Linked DNA regions of Diceros bicornis minor. The protein of the gene in region 1 interacts with the protein of each later gene in a biochemical or structural test. Links are inferred from orthologs where the notes say so. Each region holds a gene or a part of one and is shown in the gene's direction. Other genes may lie near its edges. The genes, in order: RIPK1, BIRC3, OTUD1 and CRADD.

Region 1 (7,231 bases):
TGAACAAGAAGCCACTTCATATTGTTTCCTCTGCTCAAGGACGGAAGCCTCTTGAGTCCTCCCTGTGTTAGTTTCTCTCCAGTGCCTTCAAACAGTCATTTTATATATTTTGCCCATGTTCCATTATTATTTTCAATGGAAAGATTCATTCTGTATGTTCTTCAAGACCAGGATAGGAAGTCCTCTGCTCATACTTTAGGATTCAACCCAAGTGTGACTTCCTTTGTGAAGTCTTTCCTGTTTCTCTTCCTCTCAAGTAGAATCTTTGCTGGTTGCCATAGCACGTGGCACATACCTCCATCATAACCCTTATTAAATAACATTTCTATTTTTATGGAATGATTGCTTCTCCAATGGGCTGTAAAGTATCTTGGAATAAATATGGGGTCTTAACATATTCTTTATTCTACTTCTCCCTCCAGCTACTACCCTATTAATCTGAATTACTTTTTCTGAAAAATTCCTTTAAAGACCTAACTATACTCACAGTCTCTCATTTTCCTCCCCATCTCCTTCAGCTTTTTCTTGAACCTACTCCAAACAGCCAGCCCTCGTGGTCTAGTGGTTAAGATTCGGCACTCTCATCGCCATGGCCAGGTTTGTTTCTTGCTCAGGGAACCACACCACCCACTGTCGGTTGTCATACTGTGGTGACTGCATGTTGCTGTGATGCTGAAAGCTATGCCACCAATATTTCAAATACCAGCAGGGTGACCCATGGTGGACAGGTTTCCACAGAGCTTCCAGATTAGACAGACTAGGAAGAAGGACCTAGCCACCCAGTTCCAAAAAAATTGGCCATGAAAACCCCTGAATAGCAGCGGAGTGTTATCTGATAGACTGCGGGAAGGTGAGAGGATGGCACAAAAAGACCAGACAGGGTTCTGCTCTGCTGTACACAGTGTTTCTAGGAGTCGGAATAACAGCATAACAACAAACTCCAAACACGCTTTTGTTCCCACTATACCACTAAAACTTACATTGTCATGGTCATTGACAATTTCCATGTTACCAAATCCAATGGTGAATTCCCAGTCCACATCTTACTTGACATATTTGCAGCATTTGGCACACCTGATCACCCTCTTAAGGCTCCCCTCCACCCTGACCTGGTTTCCCCATTTCCCTGGTGGCTCCTCTTCATCTCACCACCTTCTAAACACTGGAGGATCATTCCTCAGACCTCTTTTCCTTTCTGTCTTCATTACCTCCCTTGATGATCTTGACTTATAGCATATCATTCACATGTTGATGACTTCCTAATTTGTATTTCTAACGTGGACCTCTTCCTTGAACTCTAGACTCATATACCCACTTACCTACTTGACATCTCCAACTGGATGTTTAATAGACATCTTAAATTAACATGTTCAAACAGAGCTCCTGATATTTCCACGAACCTGCTGTTCTCACTATTCTTTCTCATCTCAGTATAGAGCAACTTCATCCTGCAAGTTATGCTCAGGACAAAAACCTTCCAGTTATCTCATTTCTCACGCCTTGTTTCTGATCTCTAAACTAATCCTGTCACTTCCACCTTCATATTTCATCCAGAATCTGACTTCTTGCTGCCTCCATTGCCATCACTCTTGTCCAAGCCATCCTCTTCCTGTCTGCATGATTGTAATAACCTCCAAACTTATCTTCCTCTTTGCTCTTGTTCCTTTCAGCACATTGTCAACTCAGCAGCCAGTTGATCCTATTGTAATTTAGAGCATGCTTCTCTTCTGCACAAACCCTCCAACGACTCCCCAATTCATTCAGAGTGAAAGGCAAACTTCCTAAAAGGCCTCACATAATCTCCCTAGCCCCCTGCCTTACCTTTCCAACCTCATCCTCTATTACTACTATCTTGTTCCTTCCATAGCTACCTCATTGCTGTGCTCCCACCCGAGCCTTTGCCCTTGCTCTTCCCTCCCTGCTCAGTATGCTTGTTCCCAACATGCCCTCATGGCTCCCTCCCTCACTACCTTTAGTTGTTTACTCAAGCCTTCTCAGTGGTATCTTTCCTGGTCACTCCATCTAAAATTCTGATATGCTCCCCACACATACATGCACATCTCCTACCCAGCTTTGTGCTTTTACTCTCTCAGGGCTCACCACTAACCTACTAGTTCACGCATTTATTTTGTTGTTTTTGTTTTTTCCAGTATCCCCCCTAGAATGTAAGCTCCACAAAGGTAGAGCTTTTTGTCTGACTTATTCACAACTGAGTCTTTAGTGCCTAGAACAGGTGCTTTGTATATATCTATGAATCACTTGTATCTACCACCAGATACTCTTGTATCTAGCTCCTGCTTGGCATAGCCAGAAATGTTTGTTGAATGAATAAGTACCCCTTTCACTTTTTTTATGTGTGTATATCTTTTCTAAAAAATTAATAACTGTATTTTTTAGAACAGCTTTAGTTTCACAGCAAAACTGAGTGGAAAGAACAGAGTTCCCACATATTCTATCCCCCGCCCCCACACAAAGCCTCTCCCACCATCAACTACCTACACCAGTGTGGTATGTTTGTTACAATCAATGAACCAACACTGACACATTATTATCAACCAAAGGCCAGAGTTTACATTAGGTTTCACCCTTTGTGTTGTACACTTATGGGTTTTGACAAATATATAATGTATCCACCATTATAGTATCATACACAGTAGTTTCACTACCCTAAAAATTGCCTTTGCTCCGCCTATTCATCCATCGTCCTGCAAACCTGACAACTGCTGACTTTTTTTTTACTGTCTTCATAACTTTGCCTTCTCTACGATGTCATATCGTTGGAATCATACATTATATAGCTTTTTCAGATTGGCTTCTTTCACTTAGAAATAAGTCTTTAAGGTTCCTCCATGTCTTTTTGTGGCTTGATAGCTCATTTTTTAGTGCTGAATGATATTCCGTTGTATGGATGGATCACAGCGTTTTTGTCCATTTACCTACTGAAGGACATATTGGTTGCCTTCAAATTTTGGCAATTATGTATAAAGATGCTATAAACATTAATGTGCAGGATTCTGTATGGACATAAGCATTCAACTCATTTGGGTAAATACCAAGGCATGTGATTGCTGGATCCTATGGTAAGACCATTTTTAGCTTTTTAAGAAACCGCCAAACTTTCTTCCAAAGTGCTGCACCATTTTGCATTGACACCAACAATGAATGGGAATTCCTATTGTTCCACATCCTCACCAACATTTGGTGTTGTCTGTGTTTTGGACTTTAGCCATTCTAATAGGTATGTAGTGGTATCTCATTGTTTTTCAAATTTGCAATTCTCTAATGACCTACAAGGTTGAGCATCTTTTCCCATGCTTATTTGCCATCTGTATGATGACGTGTCTGTTCAGACCTTTTGCCCATTTTCTAATTGGGTTATTCCTTTTCTTATTGTTGAGTTTTAGGAGTTTGTAGTGTATTTGGGGTAACAGTCCTTTATCAGATACGTCTTTTGCAAACATTTACTCCCAGTTTGTGGCTTCTCATTCTCTTTACGTATAAATCTTTTTACAATATGTAATCATGCTGAGCATATAATTTGCTTTCTAACATAACACTATAGCAAGCATTTCCTATTTTGCCTGAGACTTCCCAATGGCCATTTTAAAGAGCTGCAAAATAAATATCACATTTCTTCCTCTACAGCCCCGCAGAGATGTTATTATCCCCACTTTGGAGGTGAAGAAAGGTAAAAGAACGGTAATTTGCCTGCAGCAGAGCTCAGATTCCCCTGGGTAATTCACCCAGCGTGTTCCGCTAGGCCAAGCTGCCTCTCCGCCGCGGAGGTTTCTGTGACTAGGTGACATTTCCTCTTTTCTTTCGGTCTCCCAACTCGCTTTAAAACAAAGTAAAGCCGCAACCCTTAGGCTGACAGATCACCGGGATTTTAAACGTGGGTACCAGGCCCCGCTGGCGAGGGGCGGGCGCTCGCCCGGTCCTCCTCCGGGGCAGGAGCAGGGGCAGGGGCGGAGCGAGCAATCCACGCCCTCCCGCCGGCCGAGCTCACTCACTCGAAGAGAAACGGCGCGGACAGCGGACCGGCTCCCGGACGCGGCGGTCCCTGCGGGCCCACACTCGCGGCGCCCGGGCGCGCTGTCCAGCGGGCGAGGGAGCGCGGGCCGCGGCTGGACGCGCGCCGGACGGCAGGCCCACGGAGCCGGGCGCGGTGAGCGGGGCGGGGCGGCCACTCTGCGGCCCGGTCTCCCCGAGCTCGCCGAGCTCCGCGCCCAGTGACCCCCTCGTCAGGCTCGGGCGTGCTGCCGCGGCGGAGTCCTGCCTGACTCCCCCGCCGCCGCTCTCCCCTCGCCCGGGCCTAGGGAAGTTGACCGCGGAAGCGAAAGTAAATCGCGCTCGGGTGCGTCTGCGCGCAGGCAGTGGCGGCGGCGCCCAGCTTCCGCGAGAGCGGCGTCCGGGCGGGCGGGACTTCCTGACCCGGCCCGCGGCGGCGGGAGGGCGACTGCGCTCCCGGCCGTCAGCCGGGGCGTGGGCCCGGTGGGTGGTGGGCGGGGCCCGGGGCGTTCCCGGAAGTCGGGCGGTGGGAAGGCCCCTGGCGTTTCCGGAAGTCGGGCGGTGGGAAGGCCAGTGGCGTTCCCGGAAGTCGGCCGGGAGACAGCTGACTGTCCGAGGCCCAGCCTGGTTTCGTCTTCGCGGAGGTTTAGGTGTAAATCCATAGAGGGGCGGAGACCTGCCCTCGCGCCCCGATAACGGTGTGACGTTGGGGCCTTGTTGTTATCGTTGTTGTTGTTTTGGTAGGGATGATGGGTTTTTATTGCAGTATCATTAAGATACAGTAGTGTATGCTCCTGCCGTAATAGGGTTAGGTGCATATCTCCGGCTGGGACTTCTTACCAACCCTCTGCAAAGGGCTTTTACTCCTGCACTTGGGGCCGCAGCGGGTTGCCAGTACAATCAAAAGCTTTTCCGCATAATCTTGGAAGTGAGTTGGCAGATGAGAAAGAAGGGTCGACAGCCAGAGCGACAAAGGGATGCCTGTCATAACTCTAGGAGCCCTCTTCAGTGGTCGGTGGCATTTGCTTTTGTGAAGTGCTGCAGATTCTCTTCAGGGTTGTGAAGAGGCTGAGCTACATTCTCCTCTCCTAAGCATTTGACAAAACCCCACAAGGAAATGGGGGGTGTTGTTCGTTTCTTTGTGTCTTGCTGATCATTTGGCTCTTCTTTGCTCAGAGCTCTTGTTTATTTTATACAGAGTCTGAGGCTATAATAATCAACCAACTTTGCAGAAGTCCTTTGGTCTTTAGACCACCTTTAATTCTTCCCTGATTTACACTGGAAGAAACCAAGGCACAGAGTGAACTTTGGGATGTAGAGTGATTTGATTTGCATTTTGTAACCACCAGGTAGATGCAAGAGTAAGGAGGAAATTGTGGTCAATTATAAATGTGGAAAACCACAGCTCATCTAAACACAAAGCAAAGATTAAACTTACTTAAAATTTGGGGTGTATCATCGTTATTATTACTGATAAAACAGCAATAACGTTTAACTATAATTTTCGTTTTCCTCTGCACTATATTGAGGACCAGAGATATGTTGTACTTTCAGGATTGTGAATGTTAATGAGAATTAATAAAAATTCCTAAAATATCAACTTCCAAAATTACAAACTATTATTTGGTGCTTATTAATCCATAACATGTTAATACCACCAATATGATCTGGGAGTTTGAAAATAGTGTCCCATGCTTTGGTCGGATATTATACTCTTGCAAAAATGATTGTGTACTAACCTGTAGAATATTCATTTTGAACCGTATGTTTTTAAAATTTAGTTTGTACATTCCCCATGTTTCTGAACGTAGCGTAACTCATTGAATGTAGGTGAGCAAGGCTGTAAGCTTAGGTCTTTGCATCTGATTTTAACAAAGACAGATTTATCATTTGCTATCTAGAGAAGTAGCAAGTGTTAGTGAATTAGTAGTGGAAGTTTGAGTGAAGAGGCGAAGGTTCAGTTCCAGGATCTGCCATTTTAGATGAATCATTTAACTCTAAATTTTAGTTTCTTTATTTGTAAATTGGAATGATGATGATAAAACTTCATGGGCTCATCATGTGCCAGTGTACATGATAATGCTTGGTTAAACTCTTTCAGTCTAGTCTGTTACTCATCATTTGGCTCTTGCTTGCTGAGACCTCTTGTTTATCTGGGGCAAAGCATCAAGCTGCAATAATCAGAGAACCTTAGAGAAGTCCATGTTGGATACCTGAGTAAAATCAGAATTCTATTAGCAGGTAAGAAGGGGGGTAATGAAAGTAGGCAACCAACATTTTCTGTCAGACTCATTATATGTGGTCATCATTGAAAAATTGAAAAAACAGTCCTCTACCACTGAAAGGTAACTATGAATATTTTTTTAAAAACTTTTTTATTGAAGTATGACATGTACAGAAAAGTGCACAAATCATAACTGTATAGCTCTATGAAGTATCACAAAGTGAACGTTACTCAGGTCAAGAAATAGAACATTGCCATCACTCCTGAAACCTCCTGTCCTTCACTGCCTCCTGTCTCCCACGTAACTAACTGCTGTCCTGACTGTTAGTAGCATAAATTAATTCTGTCTGGCTTTTTGGTATTAATTATTATTTATTTATATTTTTCACCAGTTTTATTGATGTATAATTGACAAACAAAATTGATATAAATATTTTGATATATAGACTTATCCTGCCTTAGAAAGTAATTTGTTTGTGAAATTTCTTGGAATTTTCAGTTAATTTTAGTGGAAAAAAATTTGCTTCTCTGAGTCCCTGAATTAATATCCATTTATGCAAAACATTAAGAAATCCCATTAAAATGGACACAATTACATTATTAGCTGAAATTAGGTATCATAACATGATATAATAGGCCAGTGTGTTTCGTTAATTACTCTGTAATATGGCTTTATGATGTGGTTTTCTACCTGCCTACGCTTTTTTTTTAGTGACTCTTGGGTATCTAAACCACTCATAAGGCCTTCCTAAGATATTCAGTGCTTGCGAAGTTGAATTTTTCATGGGGGAAAGGGGAGGGCAAACAGTAAAAACAAAAAGAATCATGGAAACCATGCATAAGATTAAATAAGATCAGGGGCCAGTTAAGTTAGGAGCACTCTGCTTTGGTGGCCTGGGTTCGCAGGTTCAGATCCCAGGCACAGACATACACCACTCATCTGCCATGCTGTGGCAGCGACCCACGTACAAAATAGAGGAAGACTGGCACAGGTGTTAG
Region 2 (7,510 bases), on another chromosome or scaffold:
AAAAATATGAAATAGGAATAAACTTAACAAAAGGATGAGAAACATCTTTGTACTGAAAACAAAGAAGACAAATAGATGGAGGAATATACCATGCTCACGGATTAGAAGACTCAATAACATTAAAATGTTAATACTTTTCAAATTGATCTATAGACTAAATGTAATGCTAATCAAATTCCCAGCAACTTTTAACAAGATATTCAGAAGACAATTCTAAAAGTTATATGAAAATTTAAAAAACTTAGAATAGCCAAAACAGTTTCAAAGAACAAAGATAGAGGACTTACGCTATCTGATATCAATGCTTACTGTAAAGATACAGTGATAAACACAGTATGGTACTGGCATAAGGATAGACAAATAGATTAATAGAACAGAATAGAGAGTCCAGAAAGAAACTGCCGTGTATAAGTTCAATTGATTTTTGACAAAGACACTAAAGCACTTAAGTGGGGAGGGGATTCTTTTCAATAAATTGTGTTGGAATAATATTTAGAGAAAAAAATGAACCTTGGTCCTCAACTCACATCATATGCAAACATTAATTTGAGATGAATCATAGTCCTAAGTGTAAAAGCTAGTATCACAAAACTTCTAAAAGAAAACATAGAAGAAAATCTTTATGATCTTGGGGTAGGTAAAGATTTCTTAAATGGGATATAAAATGCACTATACATAAAAGAAAAAAATTGTTACATTAGACTTCATCAGAATTAAAATATTCTATTCATTAAAAGAAACTGTTAATAAAGACAAAAAGCAGGCCACCAATTTGGAGAAAGTATTCACAATGCACATAACAAAGGACTCATATCCAGAATATGTAAAGAACGCCCTTAAATCAATAATAAAATGTCAATTGATTCAATTTAAAAATGGACAGAAGATTTGAAAAGGTCCTTCACAAAAGATGATATCTAAATAATTAAAAAGCATATGAAAATATATTCAACATGATTAATCACCAGGGAAATAAAAATTAAAAGCATAATGAGCTAGCACTACACATTCAAAAGAAGAGGTCAAATTCAAATAGTTGACAATACTAAGTCTTAGGAAGGATGTTCAGCAACTAGAATTCTTATATATTGCCGGTGGGAGTGTAAAATGGTGCGAATACTTTGTAAAAGTTTTTGGCAGTTTCTAATAAAAATAAACATACACCTACCCAATGGCAATTCCATGTCCAGGTGTTTACGCAATAGAAATGAACCCATAGATTCACAAAAAGGCTTGAACTGAAATGTTCATAGCTTCACTATTCACAAGGGACCAAACCAGGAAACAACCCAAATGTCCATCAGCAGGAGAACAGATAAACTATGGTATATTCATCCAGTGGAATACCACTTGGCAATAAAAAGAACGAACTACTCATACATGCTACAATGTGGATAAAACTAAAACTATATTGAGTGAAAGAGCCCCTTATGGGTACACATCGTGTGATTCATTTATATGAAGTTCAAGAACCAAATCTATGGGGATAGAAATCAGAATAGTGGTTGAGGCTGGAGGATGGGGGATATAGGTAGATACTGACAGGAAAAAGGCGTGAAGAAATTTCCTGGTGTGATGGAAAATGTTCTTGATCTTGCTCTGGTTGATGGTCACCCAAGTATATACATTTGTTAAAATTCATGAGCTGTACACTTAAGATATTTGCAGTTTAGACTGTGTAAATTATATGTCATTAAAGTACTGTCAAACAAAGAAATCAAAAGTAACCAACCATTTATAAGGGCAAACTTCACCACATTGAGAACATTGAGTCCATCTGTACTAAAAGATATTTTTTTGTAAATTCATCAGCACTTGTTCAAGGCTGATCTAATCATATTTTATCTGTAAGATATGCAGTTGTCAACAGACTAGGAAATTCCTAGCATTGACAATGATTCTTACATTTATTTTGGGATCAGAACAGCATGGTTCTTTTGTTAGATTTCACTTTTACTTTCAGTCCTAGATTCCTAGATAATGTATTTCTGTAATTAAAAATGTAAAAACTTACAGTGAAATAGCATCAGGCTGGAACTGAAGTTGTTACAGCATTATTATTATGTGAAATTCCTTCCAGAGAAAGAATATTTTTTATCATGATTACCTTCAAGTTAAAAAATACTTTAAAGTTGATTGTTTAATAATAGGATATTGAGAACACACCACTGTTAAGAGTTCTCAAAGTTCCAAACCAGGAGTGGGATGAAAAAGCATCTCACACACTTCTCACACCCTGCTTACACATTAACAGAGAGAAAAACTGGCAAACTAGAGATAGTGATGGCCATGTGTCTGTCTACCTTGTCACTTTCTCAAACATTTCTTTTACTTCTGCCTGTAAAAGAGTATTTGGAGAGAAAATATATTTAGATAAGCTGGATGCTGGGAGCAAAAGGGGAGTTTTTATATAAAATATTTGGGATATTCAAAGGATCAGAGGGAAAATGTAAAGTATATTACACTATCAAAAATTTGGGTGCAGATTTAGAATAGAAAAGGCCGAAGTGGATAGATTGACTCCATTTTTGTCAGTCATCTACAAAGATTTATTAAGCGCCTACATTTGCAGGTACCCTGCTAGTACTAGAATAATGCAGTGAACAAAATATATACAGTCCTTGCTCATATGCAACTTAGAATTGTTACAGGAAAAAAATTACTTAAAAAAAATCAATAATTGTGTTACAGAATGTTGCAAAGGAGACATATTGATCCACTCCAGGCCCTCATAGGTCTGATCCCAACTCTCTTTACTAGTTTGAAGAACTTGGGAGTTCTAGTCAGTTCAGGATTTCCTAGGCCATGGTCTTTAAATTGGGATGTGTTCCTTTGAGTGAACTTACCAAGTCTTTACAAAGATTTAGTAATGGGCAAGTGGGAACGCAAATAGTTTTAAGGGAATTAACCACCTGATCCTCGATTTCTACATATAGTTGCTCCTAAAACTGATCTGCCTAAAAACAAGAGCTGTTGTGGTTGCTAGGCCTGTTCTGTCTTCTCACCAACCTCTTCACAGTTGTTCTCTCTTCTTAAAAAAGACAGGCTCACCTCTCACCCATCTTGTGTTTTAAAATGGTGTATTGCCCCTGGGTGTAAAATCTTCCTGGACAATTAGAAGTAATTGGCGTTAGTGTTGAGAAAATGAATGACTCTAATATCTGGATATAGAGTTGCCATATAAAATATAGGACATCCAGTTAAATTTGAATTGCGGATAATCAATGAATAATGTATTCAGTGAATACTCTATTGAGAGGGACATACTTATACTAAAAAATTACCTGTTGTTTATCTTAAATTTAAATTTAACTAGGTGTCCTGTATTTTAATTTGCTAATTCTGGCAACCTTATCTGGGTAACAAAAGTCCTGTGGTTTCCAAGTCACTGATTTCAACAAATTGAGTTGTCTACTGATAACTAATTAAATTTTTGGATTAAAGATCAGTAAATGAGTTTTTGGACTATAAAACAGAAGTTCAAAAAATTGTGAAAAAATTGATATAATAACATTTCTTCTGGGCCTATCTACTTATTTATGTGAAAAAGGTTTTTCAGTGCTTATAATTTTAAGAAACGAAAAAAAGGAACAGAATCTATGCTGAACCCTACCATATTCCAGTAATAGGTAATATTCATGAACACATACTTGAAAAAACTGTTCAAATATAAGGTGCAACTCCCATTAAGATTGCATTTGTAATAGAATTTTACTTTTTATCTTTAGTAGTTATCAACATTTATAACATATTTATATTGTTTTGGCCAATCATGTAATAAGTAATGAAAGTAGTATCAATGATAATTCAATCAAGGAAAAATTTTTCTTTAACATTTAGAGTCTTATGATCACAGGAAAAAAATTAAATTTCAATTTATACACATATTTGTTTCAGAAATATGTGCCAGAGTGATCATAAAGATGTCCATTTTAAACATATATTAAAATTCTGTGGGGGAAGTAGAATATTCAAGGACAAACGGCAATGATATAATATTTCCAATTATTAAAGATGAGCTGATGTATGAATTGTTTAATGGATGATCATGGGTATCAGATGGCTATGGTATTTGTAGTTCATTGAAATAATTTAAAACAGTGCAAGATCAATTTTAATCTAAAATATCTATGTCTACATTTTGTAGTTCCTTTGCAACCACAGCGTTTGTGTTTTAATGTTAAGGTAAAAAGTGCAGAGAAGTCGAATTTTTCAAAATTCTTTTGGTAGGTACCTGATCAAAAGTGTATAAGGACCACAAAGTGGTTTCCATCATCTCAAAGGTGAGTGGGAAATGGTTTATAAAATTTTGAACTAGCAGGTTCAAAATTGGATTGAAATCTCCACATGATAGATAATCTTCTTGATATAATTCCAGCTGGAACTCTAACTGCTGTGAGCAGCCAAATCCACCTAGAAGATACCCCAGCTCATCCTGACTGTACTGAATAGAACGGGCGTCCTTCCTTTTTCCACAGGATGAGGAATTCGTGAATAATATTATGGGTTCTGCCTTTGGTTCCCGATCACCTTTGATATACTGGAAGACAGGAAAATCACCTGAGCTGTCTCAATCCGTTACCCTGGCGTGCACTGTCCTGAAATAAAGCTGCTCAAATTCATCGCTTACAGAATGTTGAGGAAAACATGGCAGTGCAGTGAGACTCAGACTTCAGGTTTCCATGAGAATATCACCATAACTTAGAGATCCCTCCTGTGAGATAAAAGGCTAAAAGGAGGAATTGTTTTTACAGCCAGCTCTACCTTAGTTATAAAAAGCGCACCGCCCCCCCCCAACTTTCAATATAGGAAGCTAATAAGGTAATCTCAATCTTTAAAACAGTAAAAATAAACTGAAAAGGAAAATGTGTGATTTTTTTACATACCCCTACATTTCCATTCCTGCCTTACTTTCTTGTTTAGAACAGAAAGTAAAAATTATCAGAGAGATGTCACAAAGTTTTGGTCTTGTCTTTTCTTTTTATCACATGGGAGATGGATCTTTTCCGGTCAGGCAGACCAGTGATCATCGTCTCTACACGGCTTATCAAGATTTCCTCTGACCCACGAACAATGAAGCAAAGGTCTTTCAGTAAATGCCACGAGGATACGCCACGGTTAAGAAATAGTCACTCTTTTAGGGTCATGGAAATCCCCGAGTGGGTTTGCCAGGCCATTGATTAAGGGGAAGTGTATGTGGTTATTACCGCTGGAGTTCCCCTAAGTCCTAAGAGGAAAGCACCAGCGCACATGCAAACCACTGGGAGGAGTACAGGACTCCGGGTGTATGGAGGTGGGGGTGGGGAGGTGGGTGGGTCGAGCTGGGTGAGACATTCAAAAGGCAGCGTGACATTCTAGCCCTCCCGAACAGGCGGGGTGACGGGTGTCACCCGAGAAGACTCGGCCAGGACGTCCTTGCTGGCGCGCATCGGCCTCGGGGCAGCAGGTTGGTGACGAGGGCTGCTGCGAGGCTGTGAGCGAGTAAGTGTGCGTGTGAGTGTGTCGCGTGTGTCTGTGTGCGTGAAGCGCTCCCCGCCTCCCGCGCGGGTAGGGGACGCGTCCGCTGCTCCTTGTGGAGGGGCGGGCGGGGCCCGCGGCGGAGGACCGTCAGCGGGGTGGCACCGTATCCAAACGCCGCTCCGGGGCCCCGAGGTCGGCCCCAGATTGGCTCTCGAGCCGATCAGGGACAGGCAAAAGAATGGGTCCCCCGCGAGCCCGGGGGCCTCTCCCCTCCCGGCGCTCTTCCGGCCGGTCCCCGCCACCGCCGCCGCCGAGACTTTGCTCTCCCGCCGCCGGGAGGCGCTGGGCGCAGGGCAGGGGCCCGGGGCGAGGGAGGGTGCCCCCCGCCCCGCGCTGCCCTCACCTTCCGTCCGCCTTCCTGCCGGTGTTCAGTTTCCATTTTACTTTTAAAAGAAACTGGAATAGGAGATGGGAAAGTGGAATGGGAGAGCTTTGACAATTGGTTTAATTCGATTGCCAAGAGGTATCACCTGGTCTTTGAGGGTGCCAAATAAGCTACAGGACAGAGCCTGAAGCAGAGCTTAGGCATGGTAAGGACTCAGTAAAATCTTTATTTAGTGAACAAATGAAGGAATGTTTGTTTCCAAGAGGTGGCAGAAAGCAGATTGTTGGTTGTTTCTCTGGTGATCAGCATGGAAACCCTGTAGTGCTCTTAATCTAGTTAGCAAAGTGCTAGAGGCATTTGCCCGATGCTAGAGTAACTAACAATAATGTTAAATTTGTTTGCTATTATTTATTGCTAACAGTAGGTGTTGCTAATACCTACCAGTATGCTAGGACCCCTGTCGAACACTTTACATGTGTTTTTCAGGTTTAATTCTCACCGTCTTAAGCAGTTACCATAATTATCTCCATTGACAGTGAGGAAACTCAGGCTTAGGGAGAGTTACTTGCCCAAGCAAGGCCACACCCCTGGTATGGGAAGACTGAATAGTATTGGAAACCCAAGGTGTCTGACTCCATTAAGCCGTCAGTGAGCAGACTTTGTAGTTAACATGAAATTGAGGTCCTTAATACCATGCAAATGAGAGTGTTATGGTCATGGAGGGGCTCAGTCAAGTTTGCCAACGTTCACTTCTTCAACCAAAAGTCTTAGTGTCTGTATTATATGGCAGGCTGGATGGATGTTGGGGGTGGGAGGGCTGGAACAGAGCTGAAACATAGTTCTGCTCTGAAGGAGCTCACAGTCTAGGGGGAGGAAGAAAGAAAAGGCACACTTACCCCCCAGTCTCAGAGACATGGATATGCTAAGTGCCCAAGAAGGTAGAGACACACAACAACCCTGGGATAAGGGAGGTTGCCCAACGGAAATGAAAGTGTAAGAGGAGAAGAGGTTGGGGACTTGAGCCAATCTGAGAGGGAACCACTAAAAAGGAAAGAGGAATTCCAAGAGGGTGGTATCACAGAAGCCAAGCCAGTAGAACATTTCTAAGAGGAAATGGGCCCCAGTGTCAGATGCAAAAATTTCCATTGGTTTTGGGAAAGAAGAGATTGTTGTTATTAATATCGAGAGTAGTTTTAAGTGGTGCTGGCTAAAGCTAATTGTAGTGGGAGACCTTAACCATAGACACTTGTTAGTTCTCTTGGCTGTGAAGAGAAAGTGAGACACAGGGTAGTTGCTCCAGTGGAAAGTGGGGCCAAAGAGGATTTTTTTGTTTGTTTTCATTTGAAAGCTGAGACAGACTTAAGCATGCTCATTATATTGGAGGAAAAGAGCCAGTAGAGAGCAAGAGTTGAAGAAGTGAGGGGGATGGGCTTAAGAACAAAATTTCAGAGGCGATGAGAGAGGATGGGATCCTGCAAAGGGGCAGGTGTCTTTAACTGAGGCAGCAAGTAGGTTGTGAGTGAAATAAGCATGGATTTGAGAATGTGAAAGGATTACTGCTCAGTGATGTCTCTTTTCTTTGAGAAATAGAAGGCCAAGCAATCTACTGAAAGCGAGATGGGGAGTAGTGGAGGAGAAATTTGAGGAAAGGATTGAAGGTTTAGA
Region 3 (7,723 bases), on another chromosome or scaffold:
TTGTGTTTTTATTGTTAATTATAAGACTTTTTATATATTCTGGATACAAGTCTCTCATCAGATATATGATTTGTAAATATAGTCTCTCATTCTTTAGTTTGTTTTTTCACTTTCTTTATGGTGTCCTTTGAAGGACAAAGTTTCTAGTTTTGATGAAGTCCAGTTTATCTATTTTTTCTTTTATTTGTGCTTTCATATCTAAGAAACTATTGCCTATTCCATGGGAACTGAGATTTCCGCCTCTAATTTCTTCTAAGGATTTAATAGTTTTAGCTCTTATATTTGATCCATTTTGAATTAATTTTTGTCTATGTTGTGAGGTAGAGGTCTGGCTTCCTTCTTGTGTATGCAGATATCCAGTTTTCTCAGCACCATTGTTGAAAAGACTATTCTTTCTCCCCTTGAATTGTCTTGGCACCCTGTCAGAGTCAATTGCCTCTAAACATATGGATTTATTTCTGGACTCACAATTCTATTCCATTGATCTACATGTTTATCTTTGTCCCAGTACCACATGGTGTTGATGACTGTAGCTTTGTAGTAAGTTTTGAAATCAGGAAGCGTTAAGTCCTCCAACTTGGTTCTTTTTCAAGATTGTTTTTCATATTAGGTTTATAAAGAAATGATTATTTAATAAATGAATAAATGGATGAATGTTTACATTTTTTTAAAAGACCATGTATTGGTTTTTTCATTACAGAGATAACACATATGTATGCAAAACATCCAAGCAATACAGAAAATTATAAAAAGAAAATTAAAAACACCGCAATTCCTACCACCCAGCTGGGTAAGATGTTGGATAATGTCTGTCTAGACACGTCTCTATGAATACGACAAGGATGGACAATTGCTACACTTCATTGAGCACCAGACACAGTGCTGTGCACTTCTCACACATCTGCCATCCAGTTCCCACATGGCCCATGGGAAGGAGGGGATGGTTTTTTAATGGATAAAGAAACTAGAAATAGAGGAACTGAATAATTTGTCCAGGGTGAACTACCATGTGACAGGCAGGAACCCAACTCAGGCTTCTCTCACTCCAGAGCTCAGATTCTTATTCACCTCCTGATACTGGCTACATAGGTAGGCACATGCACACCCCACAGACACACACACAGATCTCACACATACACCCCACAGACACTCACAGAAGTCATACACACTCTGCAGACACCCCCCCACAGATGCACACATCCTGCAGACATATACAGAACTCACATGCAAATACACCACACACACACAATTCACACACCTCCACAGACACACACACACAGGACTCACCTGCACATTCCACAAACACACACACAGCACAGACATACCACAGACACACACAGAAGTCACACACATGCTGCAGACACAGAATTTATACAAACATTGAAGACACACATACAGAACTCACACATATGCACCACAGGCACACACACATATCTTACACACATGCATACACTGTAGACAATCTCAGAAAACTCACACACATACACCACAGATATACACACAGGATTCATACATACATTGCAGACATGCACACCACACAGACACACACCCACATCCACATGTAGTCATGTACATACATAGAGGCATAGACCACACATATACACACAGGCTCTTCTGAAACTGTTTTTTTTTTTTTTAACGTTTACATTTTTAAAAGTTTTATTTTGGGGGGAGGAGAAGAGATTGGGACTTTTATTATCTTTAAAGGAATCTAGCTAAGAGATGGTGGTATGTAGATGTATGTACCTTCAAAAAACATGCCAGGATTGGTCCTGTTTTATAAAGATGCCTTTGGTGGCCAGGTTTCTGCTGCCTGGGCTGCAGGACAGAAACCATTTCTGAATTCTCTGTAATTGGCGCCATGCTGGTAGCAAAACTGGTGCTCAATAAATATTCATTGATTAAATGCCTTGTTCTTTTTGTTTTGTTCTAACCTATTGATTGTCTTTTTGTTACCTTTTGGTTGATAGTTGCTGAAATTTCCTGTTTTTCTCACCTATTCAATAACTATGTAATTTTGGTTTAGAATCCTATTTTCCTAAACTTCTGCCAATTTTCTGCATAGCACCAAAATATGCCGGGTATATGTGCCGGGCGGATGATATTCCAGAAGAGAATCATGAGGAATTCTTTTCAGGAGTATCAAGGAACTGGATTTGCCTCTCCCTCTTTCCCTCTCTTTACTATCACTTGCAAGGCCCTGCCTTCTCTTATAGACTCCAAGGGCAAAAAACAACTCCCATTTCCAAGGCTGACAATCATTTCTGCTTCGAGTTGCCGGAAGTACCATTTCCTCCAAGATTCTCCAGACTGAGATGCAGAGGAGACCCTGATTCTCACAGTGAATATGCAGTCTTATATAGTCCACCACTCCCACACAAACTGAAAGGGAAAAAAAGAGCCTTCACTTATGTTAAAGTTTTGAATCTTCACATCTTTGTTGATATTTGCTCCTAAATTTGGTACATCAGACCTAGCCTGTCCTCTATGTACCTAGCATTAACTTTTTTCCCTGTGTTTACCCCACTCTGTTAAAATGCATTCTCGTTCAGGATTTAAATTTTAATAGGTTCCCTGTAGTCCTCCAGGCTCCTGTTATGCTAGCTTTGCTAGGCACACAGTGGGTACTCAGTGAATATTATCTGAGGATTATTATTATTTTTTTTTGTGAGGAAGACCAGCCCTGAGCTAACATCCATGCTAATCCTTCTCTCTTTGCTGAGGAAGACCGGCTCTGAGCTAACATCTATTGCCAATCCTCCTCCTTTTTTTTTCCCCCCAAAGCCCCAGTAGATAGTTGTATGTCATAGTTGCACATCCTTCTAGTTGCTGTATGTGGGACGCCGCCTCAGCATGGCCAGAGAAGCAGTGCATTGGTGCCCACCGGGGATCCGAACCCTGGGCCGCCAGTAGTGGAGCGCGTGCACTTAACCGCTAAACCACGGGGCAGCCCCTGAGGATTATTTTATTGTTAATTGTCTTGTCTTCTGTTTCAGAACACCAGCTACCGAAAGGCTACAGGCAGAGTTCAGTGCATTTAATACGCAGAGCAACAGATACCCCCAAATCAGTGATGAAATCTAAGTAATTCCCTTTTTCTAGTTAGCCAATGGCGGCTACAAGCTCCCAATAGGGTGTCACCAGAAGCTGAAAAGACGGTGAGCCATAAACTTAGTTGTCTTACCCCCTCCTGTGCTGACATACCTTACAGGTTGGAGTGGCCCATGTAAACGGCTGCCGCTGGGATCCTGCCAGTAGTAACCCCCATGGCAAATACAAGCCCTGGCTAGGGTCAGGAGACGGATCATAATTCTGGCTTCTCCACTAAATGAGAATACTTGGGAACTCGTTTTCCATTAATTAATTCGTTCAGCAAATATTAATTCATTCCAACTATGCGCCAGGAACTGTGCTAAGGACATAACTGTGATAGCCAACAGGCCGAGGTCTTTCCATTGCTGGAATCTGCATTCCAGCGGAAGGGTCGGGGGAGGCATATACCATAACCTATGGCTATTTCCCCACCTCTAAAACGGTGGAGTAGGCTTTAGGTTCAATTTAGATAGTTAGGGCCTGCTAATTTAGCATCTGATCAAAGCTTCGAGTATAGCACAAGCGGGCCGCTACCAGTCAGCACGCCGTTGCTCGTGCGAATATTGCAGCTTTCCTTTACACAGCGGGTACTACTAACACAGCTCGGCAGAACTGTTGTCAACATGCTACCCCGCCCCAGAACGCAAACCCGACTCGCTGCTCTGCCTCTGACCTGTGGTTAGCAGCCACACCTATTTTCAAAAGGTTGGAGGCGGTATGGTATTTGGTATTCCGAAAGGCTGTTTGAAAAATTTCCTTTGGCCCAAATCATGTATTTGCTAGTCGACATGGGTTAGGGGTGCAGGAAAGTTGGTTTCAGTTTAGCAGGGCAGCAAGGTGCTGGGGAGGATAGGTGGCGTCAGGCGACCTTAACATTTTGACGTGGAACTGAATCAAAAAGACGGCACTGGTGAAGAGAAGCAGGAGCAGTGGCTCCCGACTAGGCAGAGGCCGTGCAGGTTTCAAGGCAGCGCTCCGTCCGCCACACCGAGCCTGGAAGCTTCTTTCCAAACGCACGCTTTCAAAGCATTCTAGCCGGCCCTAGGCAGCGCCCACCCCGCCACTATCCGCAGCAGAGCGCACGGCTGCGCGGCGCCCAAACCTGCAGCAGGGCTGCAGGAAGCGGCCAGAAATCCCGTCACTGCGCATGCCCCAGGGCCATCGCGCTCTCCCGCAGGTGCCCCGCCCGCCGCCAGCGCCGCGGGCCACGCCCATGACGTCCGCCGGCCGGGGCGGGGCCTGGGCCTGGGGGCGGGGCGAGGCGCGCGCTTGAATGGGGCGCCGCGACGAGCCGCACATTCCAGCGGGCCCACGTGACGCTGCCGCGCGGCCTGAGGTAAACAACCGCGGCCCCGCCTCCGCGCCCCTCCGCGCGCCCTGCTCTGCTCCTCGCCGGCGGGACGCGCTCCAGCGGGGCGGGCGGCTTCCTCCGAGAGTCCCCAGCGGCCGGCGCGGGCCGGAGCAGCGGCAGCGGGCGCGGCGCCCCGGGTCTGCGGGCCGAGCGCGCCGGCCGGGGTCGAGCGCGCGGCCCCTCCCCGCCCTCCCCCCGCGCGCTGTGGCGCAGCAGGAATTTGGCGGGGACCCGGGCGCTATTTGCGGCTCTTGACGCGCCGGCGGCCCTCCGGTCGTTTCTATTCTCGGGGCACTGGGTCACTGCGCTCGGCCGGCCCCCTCCCCCGGGCCCGGAGGGTGTGTCCCCCGCAGCGGGGCTCGCCGCGCCTATAAGGGGCCGAGCGGCGGGCAGGGACATGCAGCTCTACAGCAGCGTCTGCACCCACTACCCAGCCGGGGCCCCGGGGCCCACGGCCGCAGCCGCCGCGCCGCCCGCCGCCGCCGCCAGCGCCCCCTTCAAGGTCTCTCTGCAGCCGCCCGGCCCCGCCAGCGGCGCCCCGGAGCCGGAGACCGGTGAGTGCCAGCCCGCCGCGGCCGCCGAGCCGCGGGAAGCCGCCGCCGCGCCCGCCGCCAAGATGCCCGCTTTCTCCTCCTGCTTCGAGATGGTGGCCGGGGCCGCCGCCCCCGCCTCGGCCGCCGCCGGCCCGCCCGGCGGGGCCTGCAAGCCGCCGCGGCCGCCGCACTACACGTCCACGGCGCAGATCACCGTGCGGGCGCTGGGCGCCGACCGGCTCCTGCTGCACGGGCCCGAGCCCGGCGCCGCCGCGCCCGCCGCGCCCCGCGGCCGCTGCCTCCTGCTGGCCCCGGCGCCCGGCGCCCCGGTCCCGCCGCGCCGCGGCTCCTCGGCCTGGCTCCTGGAGGAGCTGCTGCGGCCCGACGGCCCCGAGCCCGCGGGCCTGGACGCGGCCCGGGAGGGGCCCGACAGAAACTTCCGACTGAGCGAGCATCGCCAGGCCCTGGCCGCCGCCAAGCACCGCGGCCCCGCGCCGCCACCGGGGAGCCCGGAGCCCGGCCCCGGCTCGTGGGCCGAGGAGCGCCCGGCCGAGAGGAGCTGCCGGGGCTGGGAGCGGGCCGGCGAGCGCGGCGACCCCCCCGGCGCGGACGAGGCCCGGCGGCCCGACCCCGAGGCCGAGGCGCCCCCGGCCCGGAGCGTGGAGGCCGCCCCGAGCGGCGCGGCCGAGGCGGTGGTCGTGGCCAGGTCGGATCCCAGAGACGAGAAACTGGCCCTGTACCTGGCGGAGGTGGAGAGGCAGGACAAGTACCTGCGCCAGCGGAACAAGTACCGCTTTCACATCATCCCCGACGGCAACTGCCTCTACCGAGCGGTCAGCAAGACGGTGTACGGGGACCAGAGCCTGCACCGCGAGCTGCGGGAGCAGACGGTGCACTACATCGCCGACCACCTCGACCACTTCAGCCCCCTGATTGAGGGCGACGTGGGCGAGTTCATCATCGCTGCTGCTCAGGACGGGGCCTGGGCCGGGTACCCGGAATTGCTGGCCATGGGGCAGATGCTGAATGTGAATATCCACTTAACGACTGGAGGGAGGTTGGAGAGCCCCACGGTGTCGACCATGATTCACTATTTGGGCCCGGAGGATTCCCTAAGGCCTAGTATTTGGCTGAGTTGGCTCAGTAATGGACATTATGATGCGGTGTTCGATCACTCCTTTCCCAATCCAGAGTACGACAGTTGGTGCAAGCAGACTCAAGTGCAAAGAAAACGCGATGAAGAACTTGCGAAGTCCATGGCCATATCCCTATCCAAAATGTATATCGAACAAAATGCATGCTCGTGAAGTGTCTGAAAACCTACACCCTGGGAGAATTGCATACGTAATTTGTGTTTGGAGAATTATATGAACTCGAATCAGGGTAATAGCACTTTTAAACTTCCTAGTAGATTTACTGTAGGTGTGATGCCTTAATCGTTTTTTTGAATGTTTTCTCAGAGCTGAAGGTTGCTGGGCACCTAAATGAGGTTTCATGATAGCTTTGGGTGATCTTATTGCTATTTATAATTTGCTGTATAAAGTTGGCACTACATAAGTTGCAAGCTGATTTCTCATAGTGTAAATTTGTTCATTCCTGGTAATCTATTTTCTATAAAAATGTATTTTTGCACAACATTTTTAAAAATTGGTGTACCTTCACCTATGATGTGTTCCATTTTGACAAACAGCTTTCCGGCATAAATCCAGAGAAGTGCTTTATATGAAGTTTATTATTTTGAACAGAGTTTGTGAATTTAGTAGTTATTTTATGTTGTTGAATTTGAATTTTGCAGTTCTTAGGTAATTATTTCAAATGGATATTGATGCATTCGTGTTACCAGATGATAGGCCCATTCCATTTTGATGAAACAAACAGATTTGTTTTGGAAATCATTATTTTTCTAGAAATGGTCAACGTTTTAAAGAGAAATACTTAAGGGAAGGTTGTGGGAAGAGTTCTTTTTTTTCTTTAAGGGATAGTACCAGCTCTTACTTGAATGAAAGTCTGATATTTGCTGACAGCAGAGTGATTATTCTGTACTCTGGTTGATGTTTAGAGTAGATTGTCTGGTGCTTTGAATTGTTTTTATTTATATTTGTCATTTTGTTATAAATGAATTTTAACATGGTCGAAGACTTTGTGACAAGATAAGCCGCCTGCTTTATATAGCATCTTGGATTCAACTAAGAGATTTAAAAATTAATAGCGTAAATGCCTGGAACCAACCTTGGCAGTTATTTTATAGCAGGAGAATACTGTCTTAATATTTTGTTCCTTTTAAATTCTTTCAGAAGGCAAAGTAGGATTGCCCTGTATTATGTACAAATAAAAATGTCTGTAAACAGAGCTTGTATGGTTTGCTGGGTCAAACAGTGTTCCCAATTGAAAATATCTCATTTCCACTTTAACTACTTTTAGTCATATTTATTAAGTAATGCAGTTTGTACTTTTTTATTTTGTAACATTTTGTGATTTTTTTTGTACAATATTGTATTTGTACAATAGAGCAATTCTCAGCTGATGGAATGAATGAATAAAATGCATAATTTTACTTTTACGTCTTTTTGGCTGAAGTGGTTTTTAAAATATAAAGTGACGTCTGTAGGAACGTTTCTTACATGTATACAATATTTTATGTGAGAAGATGTCACAATTAGGAGAGAGGTTTCTTAAGTTCTCACATGAACAGGATAGGATAATTAGTAATTTCAAAAGATAAGTCTCAATGAAATATAATTTAAAG
Region 4 (7,863 bases), on another chromosome or scaffold:
TTTTGTTGTTGTTGTTAAGACTTTTTTAGAGCAGTTTAAGGTTCAAGCAAAAGGTTCACAGCAAAATTGAGGGGAAGGTACAGAGATTTCCCATGTACTCCCTGCCCAACACATGCATAGCCTCCCCCATTATCAACATCATCCACCAGAGTGGTACATTTGTTACAACTGATGAACCTACATTGACACGTCATAATCATCCAAAGTCCATAGTTTACCTTAGGGTTCACTCTTGGTGTTGTATGTTCTACGGGTTTGGACAAATGTATAGTGACATGTATCCTTCATTATGGCATTGTACAGAGTATTTTAACTGCATTAAAAATCCTCTGTGCCCTCCCTATTCATCCCCCCCCCCCACCCAACCCCCTGGCAACCACTGGTCTTTTTACTGTCTCCATAATTTTGTCTTTTCTAGAACGTCATATAGTTGGGATCAAATAGTACATAGCCATTTCAGATTGGCTTCTTTCACTTACTAATGTGCATTTAGGCTTCCTCCATATCTTTTCATGCTTGATAGCTTATTTCTTTTTAGGGCTGAATAATATTCCATTGTCTGAATGTACCACAGTATATTTATTTTCTGTGGTACATATTTATATTCTGTGGTAGATATTTATAATATTCGCCTACTGAAGGACATCTTGGTTGCTTCCAAGATTTGGCAATTATGAATAAAGCTGCTATAAACATCCATGTACAGGTTTTTGTGTGGACATACATTTTCAACTCTTTTGGGTAAATACCAAGAATCACAATTGCTGGATCATATAAGAGTATATTTATTTTTGTAAGAAATTGCCAAACTGTCTTCCAAAAGTGGATGTACCATTTTGCATTCCTACCAGCAATGAATGAGGGTTCCTTTTGCTCAACATCCTGTTCAGCATTTGGTGTTGTCGGAGTTCTGGATTTTAGCCCTTCTAATAGGTGTGATTTCCTTCTTTTCTAAGGCTGAATTTTATATATATCACATTTTCTTTATCCATTCATCTGTCGATGTACACTTTGGTTGATTCCATAACTTGGTTGTTGTGTATAATGCTGCAAGGAACATGGGAGTACAGATATGTCTTCGAGGTACTGATTTCATTTCCGTTGGATATATACCCAGAAGTGCGATTGCTGGATCTTATGATAGTTCTTTTTTTAAGTTCTTGAGGAATCTCCATACTGTTTTCCATGTGGCTGTGCCAATAGAAATATGTGACTTTTTTTTTAACTCAAGAGTTTAAGATTTGTTGCACCTAGTTTCCAAACGTATGGGATTTATGGAAGCTATCCTTTTGTTAAAATTTCTAACTTTATTGTAAAATGGTAGGATACATAGTTTGTGTGCTATTGATTTTTTGGAATTTATTGAAGTTTCTTTGAGACTCGATTCATGACCTATTTCTGTAACAGTTTCAAGTGTGCTTGAAAAGAATCTGTTTTTCTCCATGGCTTAATTTCCACATCTGTAAAACAGGAAGAACCAAAAATATCCAACTCCTTTGATTTTTGTTTTGAAGGTTGTAAAACCAAAGACCAAACTGAAAGACAGAAAAACACTACATTTGTTCTCTCTCTCTCTTTTTTTTTTTTGGTGAGGAAGATTAGCCCCGAGCTAACATCTGTGGCCAATTCTCCTCTTTTTTTTTACTGAGGAAGATTGGCCCTGGGCTAACACCCGTGCCCATCTTCCTCTACTTTATATGTGGGAGGCCTGCCACAGCATGGCTTGATAAGCAGTGCATAGGCCTGCGCCCAGGATCCAAACCTGCAAACCCTGGGGGTCCAAAGCAGAGCATGCTAACTTAACCACTATACCACTGGGCTGGCCCCTATGCTTGTTCTTTTTGACTCTTTCTTTTGCAGACTCACAATGGGTATATCTTGACACAAGTAAATATGGTGGGGAGAGAGAAAAAGGAAAATATCTGTCCTTCCTAAAAATGGATTTGTTACCACTGGGTAACAGGTGCTTAATCCTCCGTGGGGGCACAATTCCAGCCCACAGAGAGGGACTGGACAGAGTGGAGGCGTGACCATCTGTGATAGTGATTCTGATCTGTCTTTGATTCTCTCGGGGCTTGCTGGCCTTAGATATTTATATAAGTGAGGCTGAATCTTTGGTGTGCTGCTCAGATGTGTCATTGTATGCTAGCCCGGGGTGGTGGTCCTCCAGCAAGCTGACTGATGGCAGCTGGCTAGTCAATCAGAAACCCAGCATGGTTGCTTAGGAGGCAGCATGGATGTGCATCTAAATTTGCCATAGGAAGAAGAATTTCATGGTCAAGAACTTCACCCGTAGATTTAAGTCAGATCCTTAATAGCCAACCTCTCAGGTTGTTCACCATTAGAACTCCATGCCTCTCAGCTCCTGCACTAACTCTTCTCATGCTGTCTCTCACTCTCTTGTCTTCTCTTCTGTGAACTGTCATGGAACACACTGTTGGCTCTCTACCTCCTCCTGGACATCATCAATGTCTTCTTCTATTTTCCAGGAGATCTCAAGCCTTTCTAAATACAGCGAGTCATCAAGAATGTTGATGTTTTAAATTAGGTAGTTTTACATGGCTGGCTATTTTCTGTGCTACTTGTTTCAACTTTACTATATGTTTAAGAATTATCAAAGTTTACAGTTGGAAAAAATACACTTGTTTTTCCTCCCCTAAAAGTCTGTAACCTCAGCTATGGGTAGTATCACAAGAGGTCTGCATTTTATCTGGAGGAAGACAGAGAATGTTGCTAACACTTGTTTACATACAGGAGGGCAATCTCGCCCAGGAGAGGACAGCAATTCCAAAACAAAAGAAGAGGGAGAGAGTGAAGAGAGTACCTGGAATTCAAAAGTACCAAGAGTAAGAGGTGGCACCAGAATGATTTGCAGATATTTTGGCTGTCATAAGAACAAGAGACTCTTACCGTACAGGGCTGTGTGGTGTACTGTGTACTCGAAAGCGCATGAAATCAGAGGAAACTGGTTAGAATTCAGGTTTTGCTATGTATTAGCTGTCAGATTTTGGCTAAGACACTTGCCCACTTTGATTCAGTCTTCACATATGTAAAATGCTAATCATAATAATAATACTTGCCATCCATATAAAAATATTGTCACTGCTGGTATAGTAAAATGGTATATTGGCATAGTAACACTTTAAACTGTTTACAAAAATTCGAAGGTTTTGAGGAGGGAGGTCTAGAATTGCTCTCCATTGATTTGCTTACAAAGATATTTTCATCTTCACTAGTTTCATCACTGTTGATGATGAAACATCAACACCACTAGAGGTGTTGGTTGTGAAAACCTCTATAGAAATAACGATATTTGAGGGTTTTGTCTATTACTGTCAACTAACTTTTAGCAGGTGAATGACTTTCTGTATATATCACCCAATTGATTTAAAAGTGAATCAATGAATATTTGTTGATTGCCTCATTTCATAAAGAAATGTGAGGAAGGACCCTCAATTTGACATTATTTTATCTCTCTATATTTGGATCTTGCACTTGTCTTGCCTTCCAAATTAAAAATGTGGTGAACTCAGCAGATCGGCCCCCAGTATTAGACCCTCTCTCTTTTTAGCATGTCTTTCTGTGCTTCAGAAGCTGGAAAACTCCAAACTACATGCCTCACACACCCTCGCTGCTGATGTTCTGCATGTGAATTAGGTTTCACCAATTGCATGCATCAGAGTAAGATTTGCAGATGCTGGTTTTTTTTGTTTTTTTGTTTTTTTTTTTTTTGTGAGGAAGATCAGCCCTGAGCTAACATCCGTGCTAATCCTCCTCTTTTCGCTGAGGAAGACCGGCTCTGAGCTAACATCTATTGCCAAACCTCCTCCTTTTATTTTTTCCCCAAAGCCCCAGTAGACAGCGGTATGTCATAGTTGCACATCCTTCTAGTTGCTGTATGTGGGACGAGGCCTCAGCACGGGGGGGAGAAGCGGTGTGTCGGTGCGCGCCGGGGATCAGAACCCCGGGCTGCCAGTAGCAGCGCGCACACACTTAACCGCTAAGCCACAGGGCCGGCCCTGCAGATGCTGTTTTGATGCTGCTGGCAAATACAGCTGTGGAGACCTTGTTTTTTCTGCAGGAGCATTCCAATGTCCAGTCACTTGCTCTGTCAGTGTCGAGAAAAGGTTGGGACTGTGGAGTGGTGGCTTCCTGACTCCAACTTCCTGATTATGGCCAGGAGCCAGTTTGGCAGTGCTGTTTAGGGAGTCATCCTTGGATGCCCAGACCTTTTCCAGCCTTTCCAATGACTGTGAATGTCCCCAATTTCCTATGGCAAATCCCTTTCTGTCTAGAGCAGCTAGCTGATGGCTGCAACTGAATCCTGACTGATTGACTTGTAAACTATTTACCGGCAGGCACACTGTGATATAAAGAAATGACCTTGCATTTTAGTGAAGGGAAACAGATGATAAATAAATGATTAAGCAAAAGTTTTAGTAAGATGGCGATACATACTACAGACAAAAATAAAGCTGGAAAAGGGGAAGGAGACTGCAGGAAATGAATGCGAGTGTGTTGCAATTTTAAATAGAGGGGTCATGGAAGGCTTCGCTGATTAAGGTGACTTTTGAAACCTGACTATCTATTATGCCAATTGTGTGCAAGGTACTGGTAGAGTTACTGTGTTAAAAAGCAATCATCCAATCACTCCTTTGCTTAGATAACCCCCTAAGTGATGCAACTATTTTCCATCTCCAGGCAGCTATATCGCTTACCCACAGCAAACATGGCGGAAAGGGCTTCAGTCTGACACTTGGGCCCCCAATAAAGATGGCTACAGCACTTCCTGTGTTTGCCCTCAACAAAGATGGCGACGATACTTCCTGTTCAGGGCTTTCGCCTTCAACAAAGATGGCGCTTATGGTACAGGTTCCCTAACAGTCTGGATTCCGGTTGCAGTTTTTTTTTTTTTTCCCCTAAGATACGTGTTTGCAGACGTAAGTAACAGGAATCCAGAAACCCCGTATCCATCTTTTCTTCAAGGTCCCGCGCCGTGGCGTCTGCAGCCTGGGCCCTGCTTGGCTCCCCCGCCCCCCCTAACTTGCTGGCGGCGTTCTAGAGCCGGCCCGGGGTGGGGTGGCGGTGGGGGTGCCGGGGATCCACTCTGCCCTCGGTCCGCTCTGAAGATCATTCCCAGCACCCCCTTTTTAGCGAGTCAGGTTGCCCGGAAAATCTCTCCTAGTTCTTTCTCTTCGTAATACAAGAGGGCTTCAGCTGGCGAGGCAGGGAATAAAGAGAAATTCCACATGGGCGCTAGCAGTCCGAAGTGCGCATCCTCCTCCTCCCCTGCCACCTCCCGGACTTCGCAGAGGGTGCTAGGAGGGACAGGGGCGGGGGGCGCGCCTCCCCTTATTTACCCTCATAGCCACCACACCCCCGCCCCTCAGCTCCCTGGTGCAGTGGTCTTGGAAATATGCCGGGCAGTCCTGCTGGCCACTGACCGGGACTGGCCTGTGGACTTTTTTTTTTTTTTTAAGAAAAAAAATCCCATTCAGTGACCCATATGTGTGTGGCCACGGCAGTGTTGTGATGGAGATTCTGAATTCTTAGAGGGAAGGGATGGAGTCTGTGACTATGTATAAGGTTTATTGTAGACTGGGCACAAACACTAGTAAATGTTTTTCGTGATGGTGTATAGGCCTTTTCTCATGGGGGAGATGATCCTTAAACTTCTTGGTACCTGCAGGTTTCTGGCCCCACTCCCATTGCTGATCAGGTTCTAAAAATGCCCGTGGTCCAAAGGGCACCTGTATGCGTACTGGCAGTTTCTGTGGTGGTGGGGTATCTCTGATGAAGGCAATGTTAAAATAAAAGCACTGTTTCTTCTCAAGTGTGTTAAGATGAAATGCTGCTCTGTAATCCTCAGATACAAGTTGTTTTATAAGCAGGGTCTCTGACCTCACGTTTTTCCAGATCTCTTTATTGAACAAGGAATTGAGCTAGGACCCATTATGTGGAAAGCAAAAACAGAAAAGATAATTCATGTTCAGTGTTGTTCATTATGTTTAGAAACATTTGAAATTAATTTGGCTTGGCTCAAGAGCCGTGTATGAAACACCGTGGCCTGGCACTCTGGTAAGATTCAAAGATATCCATGACCTTAAGGAGCATACATTGCAGGACCCCATCTGTAGGGGCTCAACAGCATTCCTGTAATCTGAGCTGTGGATTTTGTCTTTTCCCAGGAGGAAATGGAGGCTAGAGACAAGCAAGTGCTGCGCTCCCATCGCCTGGAGCTGGGTGCAGAGGTACTGGTGGAGGGCCTGGTTCTTCAGTATCTTTACCAGGAAGGGGTCTTGACGGAAAACCACGTTCAAGAAATCAAAGCTCAAGCCACAGGCCTCCGGAAAACAATGCTGCTGCTGGATATCCTACCTTCCAGAGGTCCTAAAGCATTTGATGCGTTCCTAGATTCCCTGCAGGAATTTCCCTGGGTGAGGGAGAAGCTGGAGAAGGCAAGAGAAGAAGCCCTAACTGAGCTGCCTGCAGGTAGGCCTTCAGACGAGCTCCAGAATTGATGGAACTGTGTCCTTTGGATTTGAAGTTGGGGTTTTAGGCTGGGAGGGGGATGGCGGTTCCTGAAAGTGAATAAGGAGTTTGGACTGAAGGCACGTGGCATTGGAGGGACGGGATGAGGAGGTGGAATTAGGAAGTGCAGGGAAGGAAGGAAGGATGAAGCATGATTGAGAGGTTCAGGAGGGAGCTCAGAGAATACATTTAGAAATGCTTCCAGGGAAACTTGGCAAGTCACTTGGGAGGCATGTTCTCATCCAAGAGCCAGGTCGTTGGCATCAGGACCATTGGAAAGTGCAGATGGGAAAGCAGGCATTAGGCCTACTGATAACTGGTTCATGGGGTGCCAGAGCTGCCGGCAAGAAGAGGTCAGGTTCATAGAGGAGGAGACAGCCTTTAGGAAGGCACACCTTACACCTGTTCCCTGGGCTGCCCTCCATGGCTAGAGGGGATAATTTGGAAGGCTGACTTAGTTTGCTTTTAAAGGTTATTGGTTTCAAGTCATCCTTGTTAGTTTGGCTTTCTTCAGACACCCGGAGTATTTAGTTTTGTAAGGACAGTAGTTTGAGGAGGGGCTCATTTTGATTTTAAGGAAAATTGGAAGCTATGGAAAAGAGAGTTCTGGTGCTGTTAGCCTGGCTTGTAACAGGAAGAAGGTATGATATGAAACACTTGTTCCCTCTTAACTCCTCCCATGACTTTTCCTTTTTACAAAGATTAAGGAGCAGAGAACTGAATTGGTGAAAAAAAAATTGAAAGTTGACTTGCGTGTTTAACAGATTTAGGAAATCAACATTCTCTGGAGTTTTTGATAGCAAACTACTATCACTACTATCAAACTAGTAGTTTGATAAACTACTCCAAGTCAGTGGTCTCCCGACTTTGCTGTTGCTGTTTTTTAAATACCAATATAACTGGTTAAAAAACAAATACCAGTAATAAAAGACCACCTTTATTATTTTTGCCGCATGGACCTCATATTCTGATTGATTTTCCAGACCACCTGTGTTAAGTAATCCTGATTAATTCTTCTATTTTTATTAATGACATATGTCTGAATATCTGATCAGCATAAGATAACCAGTTAACTTAGGAAGGCCTAGTAAAGTCCCAGTGGAAAAAGAAAAAATATTTTCATTTCCCCTTGTGGCCAAATTATAGGTAAATGTAGGTTTTAGGCTTTTTTGAAATACTGAAAATAGCTGGCCTTTGAGGACCACAGGAATTCTTGGGTTGGATTGTCTTTACAAAATTAAATACTCCAGGTGTGTGAATAAAGCCAAACTAAAGTATCTAAGACACTTCTACCAGTTTATTGAAAGCAGAATAAATAACATTGAATTGGGG

Evidence for each region.
Region 2: of the proteins of RIPK1 (region 1) and BIRC3, one has a biochemical effect on the other in vitro, tested with the Homo sapiens proteins (5 studies listed by BioGRID, with this or other methods). The link is inferred for Diceros bicornis minor from reciprocal best matches to the Homo sapiens genes RIPK1 and BIRC3.
Region 3: of the proteins of RIPK1 (region 1) and OTUD1, one has a biochemical effect on the other in vitro, tested with the Homo sapiens proteins (2 studies listed by BioGRID). The link is inferred for Diceros bicornis minor from reciprocal best matches to the Homo sapiens genes RIPK1 and OTUD1.
Region 4: the proteins of RIPK1 (region 1) and CRADD form a complex in vitro, tested with the Homo sapiens proteins (2 studies listed by BioGRID). The link is inferred for Diceros bicornis minor from reciprocal best matches to the Homo sapiens genes RIPK1 and CRADD.

Annotation. Positions count from the first base shown.
Region 1 is NC_080753.1:63,207,812-63,215,042, reverse strand, and holds the start of RIPK1 (receptor-interacting serine/threonine-protein kinase 1), read left to right. Parts: upstream 1-4,049; 5' UTR 4,050-4,165; intron 4,166-4,175; exon of another isoform or gene 4,176-4,354; intron 4,355-7,231. UniProt on the Homo sapiens protein: Serine-threonine kinase which is a key regulator of TNF-mediated apoptosis, necroptosis and inflammatory pathways.
Region 2 is NC_080746.1:32,654,458-32,661,967, reverse strand, and holds the start of BIRC3 (baculoviral IAP repeat-containing protein 3), read left to right. Parts: upstream 1-4,362; 5' UTR 4,363-5,084; intron 5,085-5,371; 5' UTR 5,372-5,446; exon of another isoform or gene 5,447-5,481; intron 5,482-5,939; exon of another isoform or gene 5,940-6,050; intron 6,051-7,510. UniProt on the Homo sapiens protein: Multi-functional protein which regulates not only caspases and apoptosis, but also modulates inflammatory signaling and immunity, mitogenic kinase signaling and cell proliferation, as well as cell invasion and metastasis.
Region 3 is NC_080775.1:22,910,224-22,917,946, forward strand, and holds OTUD1 (OTU domain-containing protein 1), read left to right. Parts: upstream 1-4,474; 5' UTR 4,475-4,841; coding exon 4,842-6,284; 3' UTR 6,285-7,537; downstream 7,538-7,723. UniProt on the Homo sapiens protein: Deubiquitinating enzyme that specifically hydrolyzes 'Lys-63'-linked polyubiquitin to monoubiquitin.
Region 4 is NC_080764.1:28,287,128-28,294,990, reverse strand, and holds the start of CRADD (death domain-containing protein CRADD), read left to right. Parts: upstream 1-4,849; 5' UTR 4,850-4,940; intron 4,941-6,188; 5' UTR 6,189-6,194; coding exon 6,195-6,492; intron 6,493-7,863. UniProt on the Homo sapiens protein: Adapter protein that associates with PIDD1 and the caspase CASP2 to form the PIDDosome, a complex that activates CASP2 and triggers apoptosis.